Linked DNA regions of Xenopus tropicalis. The protein of the gene in region 1 interacts with the protein of each later gene in a pairwise test. Links are inferred from orthologs where the notes say so. Each region holds a gene or a part of one and is shown on either strand. Other genes may lie near its edges.

Evidence for each region. The genes of interacting proteins can lie anywhere in the genome.
Region 2: the proteins of ube2e2 (region 1) and arrdc3 interact in binary tests that used the Homo sapiens proteins (3 or more experiments, as listed by UniProt). The two-hybrid records come from large-scale screens. The link is inferred for Xenopus tropicalis from reciprocal best matches to the Homo sapiens genes UBE2E2 and ARRDC3.
Region 3: the proteins of ube2e2 (region 1) and znrf1 interact in a two-hybrid assay, tested with the Homo sapiens proteins (2 studies listed by BioGRID and IntAct). The link is inferred for Xenopus tropicalis from reciprocal best matches to the Homo sapiens genes UBE2E2 and ZNRF1.

The regions. Positions count from the first base shown.
Region 1 is NC_030682.2:46,325,878-46,332,225, reverse strand, and holds the start of ube2e2 (ubiquitin-conjugating enzyme E2 E2), read right to left. Parts: upstream 4,231-6,348; 5' UTR 3,916-4,230; intron 1-3,915.
Region 2 is NC_030677.2:178,685,001-178,691,415, reverse strand, and holds the start of arrdc3 (arrestin domain-containing protein 3), read right to left. Parts: upstream 3,754-6,415; 5' UTR 3,565-3,753; coding exon 3,285-3,564; intron 1,670-3,284; exon of another isoform or gene 999-1,669; intron 549-998; exon of another isoform or gene 317-548; intron 1-316. UniProt on the Homo sapiens protein: Adapter protein that plays a role in regulating cell-surface expression of adrenergic receptors and probably also other G protein-coupled receptors.
Region 3 is NC_030680.2:74,534,250-74,540,680, forward strand, and holds the start of znrf1 (E3 ubiquitin-protein ligase ZNRF1), read right to left. Parts: upstream 3,754-6,431; 5' UTR 3,702-3,753; coding exon 3,374-3,701; intron 1-3,373. UniProt on the Homo sapiens protein: E3 ubiquitin-protein ligase that plays a role in different processes including cell differentiation, receptor recycling or regulation of inflammation. Mediates the ubiquitination of AKT1 and GLUL, thereby playing a role in neuron cells differentiation.

The sequences.
Region 1 (6,348 bases):
AAATATGAAAAGAGACCCGGGTGTAAATATCCCGAGCCAATCTCCAGTGCATTAGATCCCAATTGATCATAAACGATTTAACCAGTCAAACAGTATCCATCTGAAAACAAAAGAAGCTCACCCGAGTCCAAAAGTGGTCTGGGTGCTCAAGGCCCCGAACCCGTAGTCGAAGGGGAGAAAATCACAGTACTGTAGAAGGAACTTCAAGCACAACCGGACACAGGAGTCTGCTAAAAGGCGATTTTTATTCTTCCATTTAAAATCAGAGTGCCTGACGCGTTTCGTGCGCGTGCGCACTTAATCATAGGCCAATCATAGCAGACTCCTGTGTCTGGTTGTGCTTGAAGTTCCTTCTACAGTAACCAGTAGATATAGATTCCTATAATATTCATATGAATGGTCAGTAGTGTAAATTATTACACCAAGCAGTTAGTATATATATGATTGCTGAAATGATCCACTTGCTCCTAAGCGTTAGGAATTTGTATGTGTATGGTGCAGGACTCAAATGTGGAATATTTTGAAGGGCAAAAACAGACATAATTTTAGTGAGCAGGTCTGGACCCAGCAAATGCATTAGTACTTACAAGCAAAGCACGAAAAATTGCAAAAAACATGTTCTTATACGTTCCTGCTTAACATTCATCATGGTAAATTGACTCTATTGCAAGAAATAGCATTTAAAAAGGATGTCTGCTTTTTGCTTGCAATTACTGCATCTGTGGGGGTGAAAGGAGCAAAACATTTCCTACAATGGAAAGTGTAAAAAGAAAGCTTTATTTATAACATTGTACACATCAATTTGATCAAATGTGCTTATCTTAGATAAGCAAATGGTGGGTGGAATGTAAAACCACACTCATAAAGAGGTGCCATATGACTCTTGTGCATTTCTTCTAGTGTTGGTTTACTAAAGCACAGAGCATGAGGTCTGTTTACTTGCTATACCTATCATGAGATTACAATTCAATCACTCAGAATCCTTTTCACATTTTAAAACCAGAAAATATATACTTACACACAATATATTTTATATCATGCACATTGTGCATCCACAGGTGGTATAGATTAGCTGAATGTTCACATTGTAAAGTAACTGACATAAATACTGTAGTTCTATCAAATTGTTCAAATCATACAAGAGATTTACATATGCCACACAAAGCTTGCACGAGCCACATGGCTGTAAATCACGGAATGTACATACACACAGTACTACACATTTTGTATTTTAATACATGTAGTCTGGTATGTCTGAAATCAAATTTGTATGTGTTTTAGATGCTGGGCAATAAGAAACCATGATTATGGCACAGAGTATTTTTGGTGCTTCAGCCACTAAGCCACTTTAACTGCAATCATGTCTCTACATGCACGAGGGAGATGCAGTTCACTGACTGCGGACAATTGGCTATCCCCGGCCTATTGCTAAGAACAGTGCTATCCCACTCATGGTTTAGCTGCATCTCTCCATCAGACTCACATAGCGATTTATACATGACATTGCAGCTTTCGGTCTGTGTAGCATTCTGCACAACACTGGATGTTTTTAAATTGCTACATGCCAATCATATTTTCCTTTATTTATGTGACTTATTCAGTTCATTTTCTCTCTGTAGGGCTTGAGTTATCAAGTTAGGAAGTTCTTAAAATGGGTCACTATGATCCCCTTTAGGGTGAAGACACCTGGAGCTACTAGTAGCAGCTACAAAAACAGACAATGCTGATAATTTACTGATAATTGTCTCTACGTGTATTTTAGCAGAGGCAATTCTCAGTCTTGTATATGGCAGGGTATTTTCTGGCATTCTGTAGCCATGACAAGTAGCTGCTACTAAGTAGCTAAATGTGTCTTTGCTCTTGATGCTATGAAAATGCAAGTAACAGACACTAAGTGGCTGATTATATGATCATTTAATCCAGGGTTTCAGCTAAAACAAAGTCAGAAAATACTAGTAAGTTGTTTTATTATCTGGTATCTACTGTTTTTTTCCCATTGTGCAGGGTTTTTCTTTGCACAATCAATTGTTTTTAAAAAAAACTTGCTTATTCATAAAATGATTACATTTATAATTATATATATAGATATAGATATATAGATTATATCTATAAAGAGTGTAGTCGCACAGCTGACTCTGAAATTCACCCACTTTCTATTTATTACTAAGGGATTTTTAGAAATGTATTTATCAAATAATTATTCCTATGGGATTTTTAGAAGCATGTTTATCAGAGGGTGAAAGTTAGAGTCCATCATTTGATAAATATGTTTCTAAAAATCCCTCAGGAATAAATAGAAAGTGGGTGAATTTTTCTGTGGTTAGCTCTAATCTCACATTTTGATAAATCTCCCTCTAAGTCTTAGGATGATAAATCATGGGTGCTCAGCAGCTGGCTAAAAGCACCAACTGGAAAAAAATACCAGCCTTCCTATATTTTTTTTATCTATTGTCCCTATTAATATTACAATCATAAAGGATCAATTTTACCCGCAAGGTGGCAACCCTACATGTAAACCAGCTGAAAAGCATGTATCATTAGCTTTAAGATGACTACAAAAAATCCAACACTGTCTTTGATTAAGCCACTCCAAGCCAAGCCCTCCAATACTGGGTTGGAGATCAGTCATTTATCTATTGCCCTGGTTTGAAAATTATACCATCTAAGAAGTCTTTATTGGGTTGAAGTGTCTGCATAGGCCCCTAGGGTGATTCTTCTGTTAGCCAGGAAGAAAAAATAAAATCAGAACAAATATGGGTCACTCAATATTCCCAAAATCAGGCAAAAGTCAACTCATTTAGTAACCTTGTTAAACAAGTGGATCTTTGTGCACATGGCTATCTTAGGCCATTTAATACTAAGAGAACTAACATTACAGGAAATGATATAATGATATATGCACTTTTTTCACCTGCACGTTGAACAAGTAAAGCAAGTCAACATACTGTACAACAGAATTCCCATTTAAGAGTCAGGCAAAACATGTTTTAATCAATCCAACACTGGTTACACTGTCAGTATTGCACACATATCTATTAGTTGAGTGCACAATGAAAACAAAATCAAGATGTATATGCTACACCTCCGCTGTCCAACTGGAAGCCCACAAGCCAGATGTAGATCTCCAAGTCTTTTTCATGGCCCCCAGCAGGCTCATGGACTCCAAAGACTTTATATGACATCATCATTTCAGCAAAGTCCAGCCCCTGTACATGTGGTTTACTGGATAATTAGCCAACTACATGCAATAGGTTGAGCAAGCATTGAGCTACACTATCCACAAATTACAGATTTGCTAATAAACTGGATCAAATAATGTACAAACTGTACACTACCAACACACTAAAATGATAATAAGAATGAGTGCAAGCTCCTTGGAACACAGAATCTAATATTGAACTTGAATTGTTTACATATGTCCTTGTCTGGGGCTACATCCTCTGCTTATAAATGGTCGGCCCTCAACCTTTTGTTTAGCCATAGTTCCAAGAAACCCCACCAGCCAAAGCATACTGGGGGATGCTGGGAGTTGTAGTGAAACCCCAGCATGAGGGCAGCAGGCTGGACAACCATGACTGACTGAATGCAGAAAAGATTCCATTATCTACACTGAGTGAAGCTTGGTGTGTGTAACATGGTTCCCTCCCTAATGTACAGCACATCTGTATATGAAAGTCCTAGCCTGGCTAGTAGGATGGTAGCCCATCTGGCCAGCTGTAGGCTGCACAACACGATGTAGTGGGAGCTGATGTACCCTTACATTTGTATATAGGTTATGGGTCACATAGACACATCTATACACTGCATTCCCAATCTTTGGCACATGTAACACCTATACATCCTGTTGTGCCCTTTGTACAGCCAGTTTTATATGGGAGACCAATCATTTGTATGAAAGCACAGACAAATCATTACCTGCCCCCAATCCCGGTGCCGAACAAAGTGTGGGTGCAACACACGAACCCAGCTCTTCCTGACCTCCTCCTCCTCCTCTTCTTCCTCCTTCAACTGTCTCCCTGGGGCGGGGGGTCCTCTTTTCACACCTCTTCGGGGTCCGGACACACATCCACAGTCACCCCGGACCCCAAGGCACCTGTGTAGGTAAGTGCGTAGGGCTAGTCGTCAAGAAATATTAAGCCAAACGCCCCGCTTACATATGGTAAATCCCCTATTTCTCAGCAGCTCTCCCCCTACATCCAGAGCACAGGCTCCTATTTTAGCACGGACACGCGCAAAAGGGGCGGGTATTAGTACGGTATGTATGTCGCCGCCCTCTCTGGCTGCCTCTTCAGAACAACTCCTAGCGGCTCCGCCCACCGCCGTCGATGGACCCGCCCCAAGGAGTGCAGGAGCGCGCAAATAGAGTGTGATGTAAAGAGGGAGAAAAGAGGCCGTGAGGGAGGGGGCGAGCACATGGAGTCAGTGTTTCAGTGCGCGCTCCCGACACCGCTTGGCAGAAAATAGAAAACGTAGGGCTGCAATAACTTCAAGGGGTATATAAAGCTGAGCTGTGTGTTACTCAGCAATGATGTAGAAGTTACAGGGTTCCTCTGCTGTGTCAGCAGGTCCTTCATATTCTATGTGGCTGCGGCTATGGAGTGCTGAGCAGTATGCGCCGTGCCAAGGCATACACAGTGCTGGTTGCCCAGACGAGTGCAAATGTGGCCCTGAATAACTCTCTCTTGCTTTTCCTATCATGGACATGGGGCCACTGGCTCACATATTGTTTGGCAAGGCATTAGTGCTGTGGGATTTCCATGTATATGAGAAGTTTTCCCAGGGCACTGTCCCAGCGAGTAATTGCTCTTTACAGGGTATTGGTGGTTAGGAGCATGAGTGAATTGTTTCCATATCAATTTTAAATCTTTATTAGTATCTGCGATGTCATTTTTTTGTGGCAAAGGCCACAGGTGTTACAGCACAGGGCCACGAATGATATTTCATTTATTTGCCTATTACAGCCAGTGGTTTAAGTTTGGGGGGTTACTTTGCATACTATTCACCAAAACTATTTATTACAGGAAGTAATGAAAGAGGGGAGAGGGTATTTAGTTGAATATTTGCCTCAATTTATATTACTCCACAAGGAAAAACACATCTTGAAAAGTTAGACAGGAAGTGGCTTAGGGATATGGCTATCTGTGTTCTTAACCTACATAAATATGTGCCAGAACAACACAGATATATGCACAGCAGCATTCATGTGCATCAGGGCTGGCCAGCTCATAATCCTCCAGGTGCAGCTGAACATTGAAAATAGCCTGCGAAGAAATTCTGTTTATTACTAATCCTGTCAATTCCTGTCATTTCCAGAGTGATTATTGATTTTTCCTTGTATAAACAGAACTTTCCTGGCACTTCTGCGGCTCTTTATCTGTGCTAAACCAGTTTCACCATCAGGTCTCGATTTCTCAGTGAGAGACGCAGAGGAAGCTATTCACCTTCTGACAGACCAAGGTAATCAACAACCTTTGCCCCTTAGGCCCCATGGTTTTTATTTTTAAAAAAATCGGTAAAGCAGGTTACCCACTGGAAATTGCACCCCCAGACATTCATAATAAAAAGGAAAGCAAAACTATTGTGTAGGTTCAAAAGGTATTTCTTAGCAATGATTTAAATTAGTATAGAACTGTGTAGCTATTATTATGAGTATATTACAATCCATTCAATTTTAACATTATCCAATATTAAAAGAAAACTACCACACAGAATCATGTATATTGTGGAAAGTCAGATACATTAAATAAGCTGTGAATACCATATTGAAGAGCTAAAGATCACTGGCCCAGACAGAACAATCAGTCAATCTCCAACATAGATGGAGATAATAAATAATGGCTTAGGCCAATGGCACACAGAATTTTCTTCACTGGCATAGATGCCCCGGCATGGAAAAGGCCGATCTGCTTTCATCTGCCCCACCCTGTGTGAGAACTGGCAGGCATGGTATTGGCCCATTAGTGTGCACATGGTGCAAATTATGTGTGCAGAAAAACTAAACTGTGCATGGTTGCACCAATATCCACACTGTTTGCATGCTGGTGGGTCAATACTGTGCCTACCACTGCACACACAAGACAGGGCCTTTTCTCTGCAGATGTATCTGTGACAAAGGTGACCGCTTTGAGTGCTGTTTGGTCAAGTAGCCACTTTAAAGGCCTCTGCAAAGTGCATTTTGGAATTAAAACTGTACTTTCCTGCTACTGTTTGTTCTTTAGTATGTGTCTGAGACTATTACACTGTAGACACCTGGTATATGCAAGTCTTAGCAGTAACCTCTTTTAGATAGCTTACATTGCAAGAATTTGCCAATACCTAAGCCACAAAAAATACAAAAGGTTAAGGATA
Region 2 (6,415 bases), on another chromosome or scaffold:
TAACAACACATTAATCAGTATACCACTATTAAAGTACAGTATCTATGGCCTGTTTAAGGGTGAAGACACATGGAGCTACTAGTAGCAGCTACTTGTCATGGCTACTAAAACAGACAATATTTATCATTTACTGATAATTGTCTCTATACGTGTTATACCAGAGGCAATTCTCAGTTAGGTCTATGGCAGGATATTTTCTGGCATTTAGTGGCCGTGACAAATAGCCGCTACTAGTAGCTTCATGTGTCTTCACCCTTAATGAAGAAGGTAAACGAAACTGCTTCCTTTTGTGGCCTACATATCCCAGTATACATACCAGAACAATATAGCAATGAATATGTGTGAAACAGAAGGTGACTGACAGAGACAGCTTATAGCCAGGGGAAACAATAAGTCACCTCGTTGGCAGAACAAGTGCTCCTAAGCAAACCAATAAAACCAGTCCCTCTGGGAAACAATAAAATCCTAAATTCCGTGACCGCACGGGGAAGGTGAGATCTCAGGGAGGGGCCTGCTTATTTGAAGTAAACAACTTGACCTTCCCCACTCCTTGGCACACACCTGGGAGATACTGTATCTGCTCATGGGTGTGTGAGCGCTGAGTCACATTCTGTTGGTTGGCATCCTGGGCAGGATCCAGTTTAGCAAATTTACAATTATATATATATATTTGTAATTGAGTGAAGGCTGAGCTGTAGAGCACCACCTACAGTTGCGGCTTTTGACTATATAGGGGATTGTGGGTTGTAGTTGATGATAAAACAAGAATTAAGGTTAATACTTGTTTGAATGAATACCTAGGGAAAGCTGACCGAAATACAAAGGGGAGCAGCTGCTAAAACAAATAAATAAATGTACATTATAGTAAATCTGAGGTATATTATAGCAAGTCTATAGGTAGCACAACGTGATTTGGTAATTTAAGTCGGTTTGCTTGACTGAATATAATTTGATATGTTTCTCTTCTTAATGGAGCAGCACTTTTCCCCTTGCCTTACTTTCTTCCTTTGTGCCAGCTCAGCAATGTGCTGCAAAGTGAGCAGGCGAGAGAGAGGCAGCCGCACAGTGTGGTAAACAAGTGTGGAACTGTCAATCACAAGCAGACTCCAGCAGGAGAGGACCGGCCTGAACCGGTGCGAGCAGAACCTCAGCCAGTCCCTCATATGCATAGCTATTACGTAGCTCAGCCGCAGAGAGCGCAGCCTAACCCATGTCTCCGCCCACCTCCTCCCCCCGCCCCCAGCTTCCGGGTGTACAGGAGACCACGCTGGATTCTTGCTGAGAGCGGTACTACGTGTGTAGCCAGCACTAGCAATGCCCAGAGCGGTACTACGTGTGTAGCCAGCACTAGCAATGCCCAGAGCGGTACTACGTGTGTAGCCAGCACTACCAATGCCCAGAGCGGTACTACGTGTGTAGCCAGCACTAGCAATGCCCAGAGCGGTACTACGTGTGTAGCCAGCACTACCAATGCCCAGAGCGGTACTACGTGTGTAGCCAGCACTAGCAATGCCCAGAGCGATACTACGTGTGTAGCCAGCACTAGCAATGCTTAGGACCGGTATAATAAATGGCTTACACAGCTGTAAGCACTGCTCCCTAGCATAGTATAAAGCATTATGTGATGAAAGTATCTCTCTGGAGACCAGTGGGCTGCTAATGAACTATAAGTCACCCTGTAAGTATAGAGCATAAGGATAAGGCTCAATCACACGCACGCCTATTCCACACACAGTCCCTGCAACACAATAAAGGCAGCTGCGCTAATAAAGCCATGAGCTTGATACTCTATCACCGCCCCCTGCTCTAGCGCCAGCGGACTAGCAGCGTCAGGGAAGGCTAAAACGTCACGGGCACGCCCATCTCACTCCACCTGTTCCCTGGCGCCCTAAGCAACAAGGCCAGCCAATCGCATTCAGCGGCCGTTGTCTTGACAACAGCCTAACAAACTGCTCTGGGCCAATCGAATGCGAGTTGGGCGCGGCACTGATTTCCTTCCTCCTCCCTCACCAAGCAAGCTAGTGTGGCGCTGCACCTAACTGTAACTGTTAACCTGTAAGTTGCTGAGGTAGAATGGCACAGCTCGCAGCACACTACAATGAAACAATGCCTTGGGCGCTTTGCTAGTCACTGTGTGAGGCTGGACACCTGTTGGTGCATTACTGAGCTCTGAGACCGGCTTACTTAGCGCCTAGTAGCATTGTGCAGTAGAGCCTGCCAGTACTCTGGCTCCTTACACTGTTCCACTAATACACAGCACATACTTTATTTTCCTACGAGCCCTTACTGACCTGGAATTGAGAGCCCAACCCTGTGTATTGCATGGAGTCCGGCAACGTTCACTTGCTCAGTGACAGCACCTCTATACCACTAAGTCATGGAGGCTAGCACCACATATTGTACAGAGAGCCGCTCACTTCTTGCCCAAACACTGCCCTCAGCACTACTCTAGCACTACTCATTGCAATGCAGCACTGGCAAGTAACGCTGCCTTGGAATGGTATCACCGGGCAGCCATATAGAGTTGCAAGCCATTCATGGAACAGCAATGCCAGCTCCTTAGCGTGATACTAACGTTATGAGGTGCAATAACGATGGAAAATATAGACATTTGTACTGAATGAAGGTGCAAAGGATGCGCCATGCATGAGTGGGGTGGGTACCCACATATCGCCCAGCAGGGATTGAGGGGTACACTGCTGTTATTCAGTGCTTCTTTCCTTTGGAAGCGATTCAGCCTGCTCACCACCTGACTCCCCATCAGCCAATCCCGTGCAAGCAGCGCAGCTCCCCCCTCCCACTCACTTCTCTCTCCACTGACACCACTAGCCGAAAACAGGATTGAACCGCTTCTAACAAAGGGTGGTGTAAACTTCAGAAAAACAAGATGATTCCTTCACTTCCCCCACCCTGCTCGCAATGACTCTTCAACTCTCCCCATGCCCCCCCCCCCATGCCCAATCACCCCCATATTCACTGGGCTCCCCAACAGGCTGCCCGGGCTCTGCGGCACACACCTTCCAGTTAGGCTGGCGAGCTGGGCACAGCCATGGGAGCCCACAGCAGCTGTATATACAGCCACACAATGCAAACAAATGGGCAATGACCGTTCCATAAGTTCAATAACAAAGCACTATGCTGATGCTGTAGAACTACAACTCCCAAGCCCCTCAGCTAAATATAAAGGCTACAACTTCACACAAATAAATGGCTGCCTGACTGATAACCAATACACCCCAATATCAGGTACCCCCAGCACCCCATAAAAGCCCCAGCATCCTTACCTCTCTCATGCCCAATCAGGATGTCTTTATGACTGAAATACTCCACTTCTTCAGTATAATTCTGGGTATAGGCAGTGTTGGAGCCAGCGTTCCTTGATTCCGTCCATCTGACTTTTGCATGCCCCCTGGCATGGATCCTCAGGGATTTCACCCGAATTTCCCCCGTCACTTCCAGATTGACCCTTCCTGAGACTGCATCCCCGCTGGAATAGACGGGGACGTGGCTGCCATTGAGGCAGTCAAAGCTTATGGTCAAACTCTTCACCTTCCCCAGCACCATGATTGTAAAAGGGGGCTATAAAAATATTCTGGGGGGGAGACAAAAGTTTCCGATTTCACATCAATGGCGATGTTGCCAGAGCACTGGAGTATGCATTTGCCGTGCAGAGACTGCAGGCAGGCTCAGTGCTCGCCCAGCGGCCAGCTCATCGGGAAGAACAGGTAGGAGAAGTAACAGCAGCAGCTGCTGTCACAGTGCTCTCTTCTATGGTCTCTTTACAAAGACGCCTGTCTGCAGTGTGCCGGCTCACTTATGTGCGGCTTTGGGAAAAACAAGCTCTCTGCGCATGCGCGCCCCTCTGCCACTCTTCCCTCACTCACTCACTCTCCGCTAGCCCTCTAATATAGGGTTCTCTTATTCAAGAGACAACTTCGTAGGTCAGGACGTGTCCTTTTAGTTCCTATTCCTTTGTTTATGCATCCAACGTAGGCAGCTACATCCGAAAGGTAAACGGGTGATTTGTGAGGCCTTTGGGAAACATCAAAAAGTGTTGGAGTGATGCAGTCGGTGCGGTGCTGCAGTCACTTCTGAAGCATTCTGATCCTGTGCCCCTTCCCAGGGCTTATATAGGGAATCGTTTCCCCCTCCATTGGAAAATATAAGGAAGTGAATATTCCGAGGTCAACGTTGCCTCTAATTCCGTCTTTGCCCCATCATCATAATAAATATGTGTATAACTGAAACTTATTGTTCACTGACGTTTACCCTTCCTCCCTTCACTGCTACCACACGAATATTTGTGCTTCAAGTTCCAGCACAATGTATAATGTGTATATACAGTGGATATAAAAAGTCTACACACCCCTGGTAAAATGTCAGGTTCCTGTGCTGTACAACAATGAGACAAAGATAAATCATTTTAGAAATTTTTCCACCTTTAATGTGCCCTATAAACTGTACCACTCAATTGAAAAACAAACAAATCTTTTAGGGGGAGGGAAGAAAACCAAAAAAACTAAAATAATGTGGTTGCATAAGTGTGCACACCCATAAACTAATACTTTGTTAAAGCACCTTTTGATTTTATTGCAGCACTCAGTCTTTTTGGGTATGAGTCTATCAGCATGGCACGTTTTGACTTGCAAGATTTGCCCACTCTTCTTTGCAGAAACACTCCAAATCTGTCAGATTGCAAGGGCATCTCCTGTGCACAGCCCTCTTCAGATCAACCCACAGATTTTCAATCGGATTCAGGTCTGGGCTCTGGCTGGGCCATTCCAAAACTTTAATCTTCCGGTGAAGCCATTCCTTTGTTGATTTGGATGTATGCTTTGGGTCGTTGTCATGCTGAAAGATGAAGTTCCTCCTCATGTTCAGCTTTCTAGCAGAAGCCTGAGGGTTTTGTGCCAATATTGACTGGTATTTGGAACTGTTCATAATTCCCTCTATCTTAACTAAGGCCCCAGTTCCAGCTGAAGAAAAACAGCCCCATGATGCTGCCACCACCATGCTTCACTGTGGGTATGGTGTTCTTTTGGTGATGTGCAGTATTGTTTTTGTCCCAAACATATTTTTTGGAATTATGGCCAAAAAGTTCAACCTTGGTTTCATCAGACCATAACACCTTTTCCCACATGCTTTTGGGAGACTTCAGATGTGTTTTTGCAAAATGTAGCCTGACTTGGATGTTTTTCTTCGTAAGAAAAGAAATACGGGAGATTGTTGTCACATGTACCACACAGCCAGTACTTGCCAAATATTCTTGCAGCTCCTTTAATGTTGCTGTAGGCCTCTTGGTAGCCTCCCTGACCAGTTTTCTTCTCGTCTTTTCATCAATTTTGGAGGGACGTCCAGTTCTTGGTAATTCACTGTTGTGCCATATTTCTCCCTTTGATGATGACTGTCTTCACTGTGTTCCATGGTATATCTAATGCCTTGGAAATTCTTCTGTACCTTCTCCTGACTGATATCATTTAACAATGAGATCCCTCTGATGCTTTGGAAGCTCTCTGTGGACCATGGCTTTTGCTGTGGGATGCGACTAAAAAAATGTCAGGAAAGATCAACTAGAGCAGCTGAACTTTATTTGGGGTTAATCAGAGGCACTTTAAATGATGGCAGGTGTATGCTGACTCCTATTTAACATGATTTTGTAATGTGATTCCTTAATTCTGAACACAGCTACATCTCCAGTTAGAAGAGGGTGTGCACACTTATGGAACCACATTATTTTAGTTGTTTTGGTTTTCTTCCCTCCCCCTAAAAGATTTCAGTTTGTTTTTCAATTGAGTGGTACATTTTATAGGTCACATTAAAGGTGGAAAAAGTTCTGAAATGATTTATCTTTGTCTCATTTTTGTACGGCACAGGAACCTGACATTTTATCAGGGGTGTGTAGACTTTTTATATCCACTGTACATAGATATTGTATATATATTGTGCATATTGTTTATAGCACTATAATGCAAGCTTATTGTAAGTATTGTTCTGCCTCCCCTAGGCAGAACAATACTTACAATAAGCTTGTATGTGCCAACCGGCTTAGGGTTTGCAGTTAATGAGTAGCAGAGGACTGTGCTCTGTATCACTGTTCCCCATCATTTGGGCACTACATCAATTCCTTGGTGCAGTCCTCTCCCAACCGTTCCCCATAGTACCTTTTTTACCGATGCTAAAAATACCGGACAGACGGCAACCCTAACCATACAAGCTACTATACATTTAAAAAGAAAACACGGTCATTATCGCATTCACTATTCCTTATAACAGGACATATAGATAATAATATAAATGCATGTAACGCCTTCATTTTACTACAAATATGCCACCCTGTTATATTAGCTTCTAGGACGCTTGTAAATACAGTAAAGGTAAGAAGGTTATCAGACAGTTTTAAGTTGGCCATACACAC
Region 3 (6,431 bases), on another chromosome or scaffold:
AGGCAGCATCATGCTTTGGGGCTGCTTTTCATCAGCTGGAACTGGTGCTTTAGTCAAGGAGGATGGAATCATGAATAGGTCCCAGTATTAGCCTATTTTGTCACAAAACCTTGCATGTGCTAGGAAGCCAAAGATAAACTTAACCTTTCAGCATGACAATGTCCTAATTCATACATCTAAACCAATGCAACGGCTTCCCCAAATGAGATCAATGTTTGTGAAAGGCCAAGCCAAAGCCCAAACCTTAATCCAATTAAAAATCTTCAGGGTGACCTGAAGAGACCTGTGCACAGGAGATGCTCTTGCAATCTGACATATCTGGAAATTTTCTTCTATGATTTATTTTTTTCTTTTGACTCATAGGTGGATTTTCAATAAGGCCAGGTGAGACTAAGCCTTCCCAAACCTGCGTGGCACCTTTAACAAAAACACAACTCACTCTCTGCACTGTTCTGGAACTTTTTAATATTGGGGAAATCTTCTTGCATTCCTGCTAGCTCTGGTTTTGTTGTACTCAACTGTGCTCTAATTGGATCCTTCTACTTGAGGCACCCCCAATCAGAGCACAGCTCTCTTGACAAGTCAATTTGTAAGTCTATCAAGGCACAGACGTAGGCAGGGCTGGGGAGATATTACAAACTGAAGACACTGCAGAAATTAATATTTCTAAGAAGGATCCACAGGCTATAAACTTTACCCAAGAATCTCACCAACTCTGAACTTTAGCTGCAGATTTCATCCCACAGGTACTATACTGTATCGTCATCCCACTCCAATGGGTACTATACTATATATGTTCGAGAGGCTGAATCACTAGCTGAAATTAAGTAGTTTTTTGTCACCTGGCATCCATAATGTCCCTATCGCCCTTGCTCCAGTCCTAAATTAACTCTTTCCCCCTGAAAAAGCTTATTGTGCTTTTATGTATATTTTTGCACTTTTTTTCTTACTGTTGTCATTGTTTTGTTCATTTCTAGTTAGTTGCAGTGGAGCCCTCATGAGACTGCATAACTGGGAAAAAAAAACAAATGTGTTTCAGTCCCAAGGTTAAAGCCCCAGAACATCTGGCATCAGTACCCATCTCACTGCATATAACATGCCTGGGGTGTTAGTACTCACTGCATATAATGTGCTGGTTTTGTAAATATAGACTACATTTCACCATATATAATGTGCCTGGGATGTCAGTACCCACTGCCTTTCTCACTATTAAGCTAAATAAAATTTAAGTTAACTGATAACAAACAAATGAATACTTTTACATACTAAGCCAGTGCGGTCCAACTTCTGTGGTACCGAGGGCCAGAATTATTCTGGCCTACATGGTGGAGGGCCGATAATATAAGCCAGTTTTGACCACTCCCCTTTTTTAAACTGCACCCACTTCAAACCATGCTATCAAAGAGCTTTGATAGTGCAGGTGAACAATGTGGGGGCTTAATGTCTGAGCCTAAGGTGTGAATAATGCAGGGTCGCCAGTTGGACAGCACAGTCCTAAGCAATTTAGGGTGAAAAAAGCACTCCCACCTGCAGTTTTGCACAGTATTCCTGTAAGTCAGTTGGAACCGCAAGAGGTAGTTTGGAGGTTTATTTATTTTTTTTACGCCAGCAGCAGATCCACTAAATCTCACATTAGCTTTAGGCCCATCTTTAGCCTCCCCAAACAATAAGTCACCCTCCACCTATGTTTTGACTTTTGTATAGGTTGCAATTTTGAAATAAAAGGTAGAATAAGTTCTGACAGGATTTATATTTGTGTTTTTATTTTTATTCAACAAAAACCTGCCATTTGTGTGTGTAGACTCTCTAGTGCCTGGCATTCCAGAATTTAGATGCTATATCTGTATTTACGTTACACAAGAGATAAATGGGGATATGTTTAGCATAAATAAATAGCATTTTGCATTGTAATAGTCTTCATTAGTCAGTATATACATTGACCATTTGAAGTAGTCACAGTTTTTTGTTTTTTTTTTTAAATTCAAAGGACTTGAGACATATACATGGGACTTACACTGCCCACTAGAACAAACTTCCATTGAGGGATGGGGTTAGCAAATACTTTTAAATTTGTTCAAAAGGAAAAATTGTTGGCACAAAAGGAATAATTTTTCATTGCACTTATATTTTCATTAATGACTTATTACATTTCCCCCATGGTTTCATGACTTTTTAAAATTTAATCCAGCAGTTTTATTTGTTGTACTTCAGCCACCTTTTACACCACTTGATATTTCCAGAAATCTTCGGGTCTATTTCTTTATGATTCTGATCCTACAATCATAAACACAGTTGTAAAGCAGTGCAAGCCTGCAGCTTTTTAAATGAATATCCCCCAAGAAAGAAGAACTGTCAATGAGAGAAATAAATTCTCTTGCACCAATCCCTGTATAAGTATAAAAAGGATTATAAAAACATTAACTATATTTCCCCACCCAACAATACACATATTACTAAAACCTAATGTACTTTGTATATAGGGAATTATGCCATAGATGTCACATTTTATTTACAATCTTAAGAGTCTACACTTATAGGAAATCATTGTAGGGCAGCAGAGGAGTCAAGAAGTGAGTCCACAAAAATACTCCAGAAAACACTACACAGCATTTCACTCCAGACTGACACCATGGAGCTAAAGAACATTCCATATTTTCATTGAAATACCTGAGAGGATTCATGCCAACCAGTTATAAAGCAGCAGTAATACCTGGCCTTTTGCACAAATGCAAATAATATTTTTATCTGTTGCACCAGTGCAAGTAGGGCTGCCACCTGGCTGGTATTTTACAGGCCTGGTTGGTAAAAATGATGCTTCATCCCAATGTTATTAATAGGCAAGAAAGCTAAATATATATGAAGCCTGGTACTTTTTTCCAGAGAAGGTGGCAACCTTAAGAGCAAGGGATGTATTTTACCTTGTACAGAATAAAAACGATGAGATGGATAGAGAAACAGACAAGCCTACTGCTTATAAACCTCAATATAGAAAGCTACTTTCAATTGGTCTATTAACAAAAAAAAAAATATATAGGACTAAGTGAGGAGATAACATGGTACCTCATAAGTACATGATGGCATCTCATAACTACAAGACACTAATAGAGGCAACCACTTATGAGAAACACCACTTAAAAACAAAGATGCCAACTGAGAGCTCAGCCTATGGATTCACATAAAATGTTGGCATTTTAGGCACATTAAGTGAAATGTGGCTTCAAAGTTGGTGTTAACAAAGGAGGGAATGAAATGACTGTCCATATTGGTGGCCTCCTGCTGCATGCAAACTGAACCTCACAAAATCTCAAGTCACTGGCACAAGGTAAATGGCCATGGCAGACAATATTCCATCAAGTAGAAATAAGGGACTCACCGCTGTGTGCCCCTATCCACCTCGGTGCTATTTGCAACGTGTCCGCCAGAGAAGCCCGGGACCCAAGGTAAAGGTCCCCCCGTGAGTCCTCGCTCCCTGAGCTGCCCCCTCTCTCGGTGTCAGGCCCGGCTCGGTATAAGCCAAACGGTAGGCCAGGGGCTGGGGGGTCCAAGCCAGAGACAGAGCTAACAGAACGGCTGCGCAGGCCCATGGCGCCCCCGGCTCGAAAATGTCCAAAGTTTGAGGAGGGGGGCACGGCACTGTCATCCGAGGAAACCCCCGGGAAGGGAGCCCGAGAGCGGGAGGCTGAGCTCTGCTTCCCCCCCATGGGGCACACAGCGCTAGAATTAGGCACTGTGTGCGCGTTTGGTGGATAGAGAAGAACGGAGGGCAAATATAAGTCTAGGAGGGGCAGTTCGTCAATTATGCTTATTAAAAGTGGGCAAGTTCATGAGGGAAGGGGTCCATGTGGCGCACAGTCCTGTGTAGGCCCCCGGCAGATATTACAGTAGCTTCTGAGCCGGCAGCATCCCTCCCTGCCGCAGTGAAGTTTGCCAGGGAAAGCAGCCCCCGTAGGATTGAGGTTCCCTATCCCCGGCAGGGGTGCGGCCAGCAGCTACTGAACTGGAAAGCACCCCCCTGTGCGATGCTCCAATGTCCAAGCCAAACTAGTGCTCTTGAGCTCATTCAGTAAGTGCCCCGACGCTTCTACACTCCTGTAAACTCGCCTGGATAAGGGCACCGGGCAGGGTGCAGTGCTGATCTCTTCTTCAGGAGTCCTAGCTACGGGGCCCATCAGATCCGCATCCCCTTTCTTTGGCCTTGTTGGTTCCCTGCCAGGCCGAGCAGTCCCATAGGTTTCCTTGGCCAATCGGCCGAACTCTCGGCCCCGAGTTCTCCTTGCCCAGCAGCAGCTAGCGTTCTGTCTCGCTGGCTACCTCAATCTGACTTGCTCCTTGTTGCTGGGCTGTAACAATAGAGGCCTGAGAGGCGCATGCGCAAGAGAGCTCTCTCCTCCTTCAGTCACTTTCCAAGCCTGCACATTAACCGTTGCCAGCCGAGGATCAGATGCTTCATTACAGATATGTCTATGGACTTCAGCGAGGCACAACTCAGCGCTCTCAGTTATGAATAGCATTGAGCTGGTGTGCAAACGAACCAAACCCAACTGGAAAGGAAAGGGTTAACCGTTCCTGCCTGTCATACTTTGAGGGATGGAATCAGCGGGGCTCATTTATCATGCCTGCAAACTGATTGGCAAATCTAAATAGCGCAAGGTTACCGGATCACCTCACATTAGGGAACCCTACATAAATGCAGTCCTGGGCAATACAGGGTTGATTGCATAAAATAAATGCAGTCAATTTTGCATTGATATTTGCATTTAGAAAAAATGTCAGTGTTTCATCATTTAATAAACCTTGATTTACTTAATTAAAAAAAAAACATAAATCAATCTCGGTGCAAATGTTGGCAAAATGCCCATAGGACTGTAGTTACATTACTGTGTGGCCTTATCTGCACACTTGGGGGCCCATTTGTCAAAGTACGATTAAGTCCGAACACAAAAAAATTGTATTTTTTCTAAGTATTAGAACTGTGCATATTTTTTGCAACATTTTTGTTTTTGCATCGTAAGTACAAAATTTTCATATCCAAACAAAAAGAATTTTCGTTACATTTGCGATCATCAGAAATGATCGGATTTCGTGATTCATATTCGTACCTTAGTGAATCAGCCCCTAGGAATCCACCAAATCCATATTTGAATTTATCTATATACCATAACAAGTCCTAACTGCATTATTTGGAAACTAAAAATAGTTGCTTTAAAGTCACATGACATAGTTAGCATTTTTGGTTTAGGTGAACACAAAGGACTTCAATGAAGTATAAAGGTGGCCATAAATGCACTGTAATTATCTTATAAAACAGCGCTTGTTTGGTGGGACACAAGGTGACCAATATCAGCAAAAGCCTTGAATGACGGTCGTCTCGTTTATCGGGCAGGACTGAAAATTTTGATTCAAAGCCTTTGTAGGTGCCCTAACATCATAACGTTAATGCTGAAGCTCCAGATGGGGGTGCCAATGGCGTTGCTAGCTACAATCACCCACTCCACATACCAATTTCTCATAGCAGCAGCACACATTTTTGCTTCTGTGGTTCGTGGAGAACAGGAAACACTTTATTTAATTACCAAACTCTGGCCTGCACTATGATAAAGGTTGGGCAGATGCCAATAAAAAAAGTGTATCTTTTCTTCAGGTAGGAACTGAAACGTTGGACTAAATAAACCTAATTTTTATTTTTACTTTATTACCTTGTGTAAAAATTCCTGTGTGCGGCACACACAGAACACTGCCTGTGTGTTCCATACTCTGCCTGCCTTTCCATGCCTGTGTGTGCCATACTCTGCTTGCCCTATGCTGCTTGTGTGTGCCATACTCTGCCTGCCCTATGTTGCCTGTGTGTGCCATACTCTGCCTGCCCTATGCTGCCTGTGTGTGCCATACTCTGCCTGCCCCATGCTGCCTGTGTGCCATACTCTGCCTGCCCTACCCTAACAATGCAGGGACTAAAAGGTGTGAACAGTAAAGGAGATTACAGATGTAAACAATACAGGGGTTTACAGCCTGAATCTGAAGTGTGAACAATGCAGGTGGCCAGTTAATCTCAGTACTGGTACCACTTAAATCTTACACAAAGGTCAGGAGTCAGACATGCGGTGGGGCCACAGAGAGGGGGGGCCGCAGGTGCCAGTTGGACAGCACTGCTGTAGATCCTTTTTAGCCTCCCCTAGCCTTATTGAAAATCTACCTATGATGTAAAATGCAAATAAAGTTTGCACCCACAGAAGATATATTTTACCTCCCCTTTCCTAACAGTGATATATGTTATCACAGAGGTGACTGTGAAAAGAAGGGAAAAAAAGTAGTGATATAAATATCAGGGGTTGGAGTCAAGAGGTTCCCACTCCCCCATAAAGCCCACTTTCAGGGCTATCAACACAATAGCAGCCATGCTCCCAGAAGAAGCACTGTGATAGGGAGTAGAG